Oryzias latipes: one gene and its partner. The protein of the gene in region 2 purifies or fractionates together with the protein of the main gene of each other region. This does not show direct contact. Links are inferred from orthologs where the notes say so. Each region holds a gene or a part of one and is shown on either strand. Other genes may lie near its edges.

Region 1 (3,517 bases), on a different chromosome or scaffold from region 2:
TCTATGATGACTTTAAAACTATGAACATTTTATCTCCCAGCATATCCTTTATGGATGTATATATATATTAGGGCTGCACGATATGAGCAAAACTTGCGATGTGCGATATTAGTGATCAATATTGCGATAACGATATAATTTGCGGTATATAAACAAATAGCAAAACAACCAAAAACATCATTACCATGTCATTTCAACAGTTTAAAAAAATGATACTCCAAATGACCCTTGTTGACGTAGGATGCAAACATCTAACATAAAAGGGCTCATCTGATTGGTCAACATCGGAAAAGGTCCATCCAATTGGTCAAATGCATAAATGGATTTATTTGATTCGTTAAATGCTTCAAGCTGCCATAGGATTGTGTTAGCACATTTAAGGTAACCATTTATTGCGATTTTTGCTGACTTTTGCAATATGGATATTGCACTGCTTGATATTGCGATAACGATAAATTTGCGGTAAATTGTGCAGGCCTAATATATATATGTATAAATATATATATTTACGTCTTTCATGAGTGACTATGCTCTTTAAGGTGTCCATTATCTTAAGGGAAACCTCGTTGTCTGATACAAATTTGTAACCAATGTTGCCATTTTGCGTTAAGCCGCTCACTCCAGGTAATAACAACAGCAGAAATGGAATTATAGTGTATTTCACACATTTAGCTATGTACTTTTTTCAGGCACTGACTTCATGGCGAGACTTCAAGAGCAGCTTAAGTACTTTGTCCACAACAAGCTCTCCACTGACAAGCTCTGGCACAATGTCAAAGTCTACTTGTCTGGTCACGAGGTGAAGTGCTTTACATTCTTTCCAACTTGCTGACTGATTGATAGCTTCAGTGAAGGTTGCTTGTTTTGACTTTGTGGGGGCATCTTCTTCTTTTTAAGACACCGGGAGAGGGAGAACACAAAATCATGGAGTTTATTCGCTCTGAGAACTCCAAACCCAGTCATGATCCTAACACCCGGCACTGCCTGTATGGCCTGGATGCTGACCTGGTAAGGTTCGGAAATCTCTAAACAATGTTTTTGGAGCCCTAATAGAGTAATTTGCTTTGCTTTTTAACCTGTTTTCCAGATTATGTTGGGTTTAACCAGCCATGAGCCGCACTTCTCTCTGCTCAGAGAGGAGGTTCGCTTTGGAGGGAAGAAATCACAGAAAAGGTTTGGTGTTCCTCTCGATTGTTTTTCTCACAAGTCCAAGTTTTCTTTAGTATAAAAAGTACAATTATGTTTTTACATTTTAGCTTCTCTTTCAGATTCTTCTTTATCTTTGTTTTAAACTCTCCTTTTTGTCTTCGCCTCCAGGATAACGGCTCCTGAAGAGACGACTTTTCACTTGCTGCACTTGTCCTTGATGAGGGAATACATCGATTATGAGTTCTCATGGCTTAAGGTCTAACTTGGCACACAGAGCATTAAAGCATTTTAAATGTGTCTTTTAGAGCTGCACGATATGAGGAGAACCTGCAATTTGCCATATTAGTGATCAATATTGCGACGACGATAACTTGCGATACATGAACAAATAGCAAAATATCTAAATACATAATTTCCATTTCACTGCAACAGTTTAATTTATATAGGAGTCAGCATCACTTAAATTATTCTCCAAATGACCCTCGTCTACGTAGGAGGCAAGCATCTAACATAAAAGGCTCCATCGTTGGTCAAATGTGTAAATAGATTTATTTGATCTGTTAAATACTTCAAGCTGCCATATGATTGTTTTAGCACATTTAAGGTTGCCATTTATTGCAATTTTCTTCGACTTTTGCGTATTGCACAGCTTGATTTTGTGACAAATTTGCGATTTCTTTTTTTTTTTTTTTTTTTGTGCAGGCTTAGTGTCTTCTTAAAATATCTAAGGAGAGTTGAATGTACACTTTTGTGTTTCTGATATAAAAGCAATGTCTGATATGTATTTTCTTTGTTTATCTTTCAGAATCATTTGGGCTCTGCCTATGATCTGGAGCGAATAATAGATGACTGGATTTTAATGGGATTTCTCGTGGGGAATGATTTCATCCCCCATCTGCCTAATCTTCATATTAATCATGATGCTTTGCCAATGCTGTACAAAACTTACATCAGTGTGCTACCCAGCCTGGGGGGTTAGAACCACGCACACACACACACACACACACACAAATATAAGGAGCAAAAACATAATGGCATCACACATTTGTACATAGTTCCTGTGCTTTTACATTTACACTTTAAATGTTTATTTCCACTTAGAAGCATGAATCAACGTCATAATCATTCGATGTCTTATAGGTTTTATATTAACACCCACTTTTTCTTCTGGATTTTCATAATTAAAACCTATTTTTTTCTGTCTGATTTAGGTTATCTGAATGAAAATGGGCACTTAAACCTCAAAAACTTTGAGAAATACATGGAGAAACTTTCTGAGGTGAGACACATAGTATGAATGTTTCCAAAGAAATTTTTAAAATGTAAAAAAAAAAGTACATTTTATACTAAGAAAACAGTAAATAAATAAATCAAACTAAATATAACTATGGATGTGTTTGTATTAATTTGAAAACTAATCCTATCTTGACTTCTTTTAGTGTTGTAGTTTTGTTTCCTTTTTATAATTTAGTCCAGTCAAATTTTATGGACATGTTCTTTATACATGTTTGTATATCGCAGCATCTTTCTTCAGACTGTATTATTGGTACACTGTGTATTTACTAGCACATGACCTTTTTTCTCCCTTGATTCCGTCCTGCATCCCTCCAGTTTGACCGGGAACATTTTAATGAAGTGTTTGTGGACTTAAAGTGGTTTGAGAGCAAAGTGGGAAACAAATATCTGAACGAGTCGGCTGGTCTGGCAGCCGAGAAGGAATCTGCTGGGAAAAAGTTCAACAAGAAAAAGGTGGAGACACAGTGACAAATAAAGATCTTTTTTTTGACTGAGAGCAGCTTTTTTTTTTGTAATTTATGTCTTATGTTTTCTGGAAAGGATGCGTCCCTCGGACTGTCAGCCCTGACTTCACCTGACAAAGATACTGAACACAAAGAAGTGGCTGAGGATGACGATGAAGAGGAGGAGGATGATCTGTTTGAAACCGAGTTCAGGCAGTACAAACGCACATACTATATGACCAAGATGGCCGTAGATGTAGTGTCTGAGTGAGTACAAAGCAATACAGAAAGGAGTGAATGTGTAAAATCTATAGCAAACGATTTAAATAAAATAATTCCCTTTTGCCGACACTGTTGTCATTTACTGATTGTGCCGCATGGGAAAGAAAGTATGACTCAGCAGAAATGATCAGGTTTTTTTTTTTCTGAATCTTGTGCCTGGTTATTGATCAACAAGAAATGAGTGAGAAAATAAACTGGAACTAAAACAAATAAAGCATTTATTTTAATAGTCACAATGTTTCCTGTTTGAAAAAAGTTGCCATAAGGAATATTTTTTATATTTACTGTGAACGTAAAAAAAAAAAAAAGTAACATTTAACATGTCAAAATTAACAAACTGCTCTTTT
Region 2 (4,011 bases):
TTGTAAATGTTAATAAAATCATTTTTATTCCAATTCATTAAAAAGTGAAGATGGGTTGTAGAAGTGTTGTTGCATGTGTTAATATGTATTATTACAAACAAACAGACCAATATATTTTCCTTTAGGGCACAAGACTCAAAAAAAGAAAAGAAAATTGAAGAGGAATTTATTTACTTTCTTTCTCTGTCAGCAATGCAACATTGAACACATCACCCCCCTCTCGACTGGTACTTTTCCCCCCCAAATTTCTCAGGTTTCAGAGCTTAAGGTTCATTTTCCTTTTATACAAATATTTTTTTCTTATTAAACATTGTATTAATAACTGTTCATTCATTCATCTTCTAATCTGTTTTCCAGGGTCACAGGGCTGCTGGAGCCTGTCCCAGCCATTTGTGGGCAAAAGCGACACCCTGGACAGTTTGCCAGTCTGTGGCAGGGCCACAATCACACACCCATGCACCAATGCACTCTCACATTCACACCTAGGGGCAATTTAGACTAACCAATTAACCTATGAAGCATGTTTTTGGACAGTGGGAGGAAGCTGGAGAGAACATGCAAACTCCACAGAAAGACCCCCCCCCATTGATGTTCTGTTTCAGTATCCCCAGCTGAGACTTGAACCAGGGGCCTTCTTGCTGGGAGGCAAGAGCGCTAACCACTGCTCCACTGTGCAGCCCACTAATTAATAACTAATTATTATTAAAAAATATGAATATATTAATCATAATCTCAACTTTTTCTTAAAAAATAAAATTAAAAAATCACATTAAGGAGTGAATATAAATGCTTATTTTCACATTTCATTCATTAGTATGCATTAATGTCTTAATTGCTATTGTTTTATTTGTGATCATGTTTGAGCTTTTAATTGTAGGTCATCGTGTTCAATTGTGGTCATTGTAAGACAGCACCAAAATAAAAATCTGCCACATTTGATATAATATTTATGCACTTCCTAAAGGAGCAAATCAGGCAGACAGTGCCAGCTTGAGTGGTCTGTTTTATCTCAACTGCACAGTATAATGTGGTTTGTAGAAATACATTTATGATGTGGATAAAATAATCTGTTCTTTTTTTTGGGAGGGGGGGGGGCAATGATCTTATATGAGAGTTAAAGTCCGTTTTCCTTTAGTTTGCTTAGTTGTGGAAAGCACGAAGAAGCCTGTAAATTTGAAAGTAGGAACCAGGAAGCATTGACTTGACCCTGTAACCAGTCGGAACATCTACGGAGAGGACCAAACGGAAGTTTAGACGGTTGCTGTGGGTGAAGGGACAGCTTCGCTGTAGACGAAAATTTAAAATTCTCCCCTTCAATTTACCCAGTCTTCCCCTTTCCCTCGCCCATGTCGTCCAGCTCTAATATAGACATCGAGGGTGCGACCCAGCACCTCCGGGATATCCTCAAGCTCGACCGTTCGGGAAACGGCGCCGGTAAGTCGCACCGGGAACGAAAAGTCGCTGCGCTGCCAGTTAGGCCGCTAAGCTAGCAGGCTGCTAGCTTGCTACATTAGTAACACCCGTTTCGGCGTGAAAACGTCCCCTGATAGATTTTATACACATTTGTAGGAAAAAGGCAAACTATAGAAGACAGTTTAAACGTCGAAGAGTTTCCACTCACACTTGTCGTGTTTGAGTAGTTTGTTTGTGGCGCTGCGACTGCTTCGACCTCACCGACATAGCTCGGTTAGCTTAAGGCTCATTCCATCTATGGAAAAACTATAGAAAAGCAGATAAAGTGATACAGGAACTAACTTCAAGCTCTATATTAGTTCTTAAATCGAGTCACCATATTTGGAAGGTTTTCCCATTTTACATGATATACGAAGTCTAAAAATAAGCAGTAAACACTACAGGTAAGCAGCCAGGACTTCAAATATAATTATCGTGCGAAATATTTGTCACAGCATTTTTTATGTTACCCCAAAGTACACCAATCACCCAGAAAATTAACAGTCCCATATAATTGTATCACGCTTGTATGTCTGGTATGTTTTCGGGAAGCACACAACAAATGCTTTGTTTTTAAGGAGGAAAATTTTCAAGTGCGATTCTAGGGCTAAACGTGTATATGGATGGTTTTTAGAAATGTGTATTTTCGTGGCCTTGATGATTGCAGATCGAAGCATTAAGTTGTTAATGCTGAGAGAATTTTGAACATATTTCTATGTTTGTTATTTTTTTTTTTTTTTTTTTTTTTTACAGTTCTTGGTCATTTTTAAGTTTTTCAATTGTCTTGAAGTTTTTTTCTTAATATCAAATACCAAATATTTCTGACACGTGCCTGCTTGCACGGGGAATAATGTGTATTTTTTTGTTTAAACATATCAAATGATCTCAAAATAAATCAAACTTTTATTTTGGGATGATCTGGTTTGATTTGGACACGTAAATACTTTTTAAAAAATTGACTTGATTATCACTGGACTAAGAAAATGGATTTGCTGTGTTGTTTGTCTTTTGTGGTCCAGCTACAAGAAAATTGCAAGTGTAAAAGAATAAGCTTCATTTGGTCAAAATACGTTATTATAGTTAATTAAATCAAATGACTTATATCGACTCATTCTGGACTGAATTTCCTTTTAGAGTAAATTATTGGTTTTTGTTCGTTTAAGGTTTGCTTTAAATCAAACTGAATAGAAGAATCAAATGGGTTTGCATTTATTTTAAACTTACTTTTGGGTTATCTTTTTTTCATTTTTTTTGTACTGCTTTGTACACGTTTATTAATACAGTATAAATAAAATGATTTTCATGAGATGAAAATATTAGAAAATGGAAAGCGTCCACGTAACCCCTGAAATGATTCCTCCATGTAATGTAATTGATGGTCAGTTTAAAGTCAGTATCATACTGTTTGTTCTTTTCAGTTAACTAAAAATGTTTTGAAGTAACCCAATTACCATAGCAGTCTATCCTTTTCATAATAAACAGATGAACAATATTTGTGTCAAATTAAGTTATATTATTAAACTGAAATAAATAATTTAATCTTTAAGATTTAAAAGGCTTTACAGGTTAAAACACTCATCTGCTCAAAGTGATAAATGGGTATAAATATAATTAAACTGCTGGCTGTTATAAAAGCGGTGTAGTAAGAGTCCAAATGCAGTTCTATTTGCTGTCTCTCAAATGAAAAGCGCCTTCTGTTGAGGAAAGATGGCCTCCACAATACATTAAATACAGATTTTCTGTTTTAAACACTTTTAGTAGTTATTTTATCCGTTCAAAACAATTTTATCCTACACATTTAAACTAAAGATGCCACCAAATATGAAAACAAAAAAAATCAAGATCTTAAATAAATTCAGCAAGAGGGGAAAAAGTACTGCATGTTTTAACCTGCGTTATTTTAGTTTCATTATTTAAAAATAAATAAATATAAAGCCAGTTCATTTTTTTGGCAGCTGTCCTTTATATTTTTAGGAAAGTAAAAATCAACAGATTTCATCAGAAAAAATGTATTCAGAGCAAGAAATCTGTATCTAGTTTTTCAAGCTACTGTTGAGTTTGATGAGGGTTTTTTATGCTAGAAGAACCTTTTGAGCAAAAGGACACGGCAGAAACTGAGGAAACTGGCTGCGAGGAATAAATAAAAATAGGGACTCATTATGCTAAAACAGTATTGCATTTCAAAAAATCTATTCATCTAATTTGAAATAGTGTGATTTTGTTTGTTTTTCTTGTTAAAAAAGCTATTCTGATTTCTCTCCAATAATAATCTTTCTGACAATGTCTGCAATTCTCAAACTTTATTCCATAGTTATGATGGCTTGATCTTATTTTACACTTGTAAGATCAACAAACAACAGATTTGTAAGATAACAATCCTCTTTGTTTGTGTTAAATGCAGACACTTCACTGGCAGAGATGAGAACCGAGTTCTGCTTTCAGCTGTCATAAATACTGCATGAGTCGATGTCATTGATGTTCTGATTTGTTTATTTTTCATGAATTATGGGTCATAATAAACTGATAATCAACCTCCAGGTGCATCATGCCCCTTTATAC

Evidence for each region.
Region 1: the proteins of edc4 (region 2) and xrn1 purify together in Homo sapiens (co-immunoprecipitation; 4 studies listed by BioGRID and IntAct, with this or other methods). This does not show direct contact. The link is inferred for Oryzias latipes from reciprocal best matches to the Homo sapiens genes EDC4 and XRN1.

What each region holds. Positions count from the first base shown.
Region 1 is NC_019875.2:19,740,960-19,744,476, reverse strand, and holds part of xrn1 (5'-3' exoribonuclease 1), read left to right. Parts: intron 1-689; coding exon 690-799; intron 800-897; coding exon 898-1,008; intron 1,009-1,087; coding exon 1,088-1,173; intron 1,174-1,317; coding exon 1,318-1,405; intron 1,406-1,954; coding exon 1,955-2,123; intron 2,124-2,360; coding exon 2,361-2,428; intron 2,429-2,760; coding exon 2,761-2,898; intron 2,899-2,985; coding exon 2,986-3,155; intron 3,156-3,517. UniProt on the Homo sapiens protein: Major 5'-3' exoribonuclease involved in mRNA decay. Required for the 5'-3'-processing of the G4 tetraplex-containing DNA and RNA substrates. The kinetic of hydrolysis is faster for G4 RNA tetraplex than for G4 DNA tetraplex and monomeric RNA tetraplex.
Region 2 is NC_019864.2:24,347,468-24,351,478, forward strand, and holds the start of edc4 (enhancer of mRNA-decapping protein 4), read left to right. Parts: upstream 1-1,203; 5' UTR 1,204-1,346; coding exon 1,347-1,434; intron 1,435-4,011. UniProt on the Homo sapiens protein: In the process of mRNA degradation, seems to play a role in mRNA decapping. Component of a complex containing DCP2 and DCP1A which functions in decapping of ARE-containing mRNAs. Promotes complex formation between DCP1A and DCP2.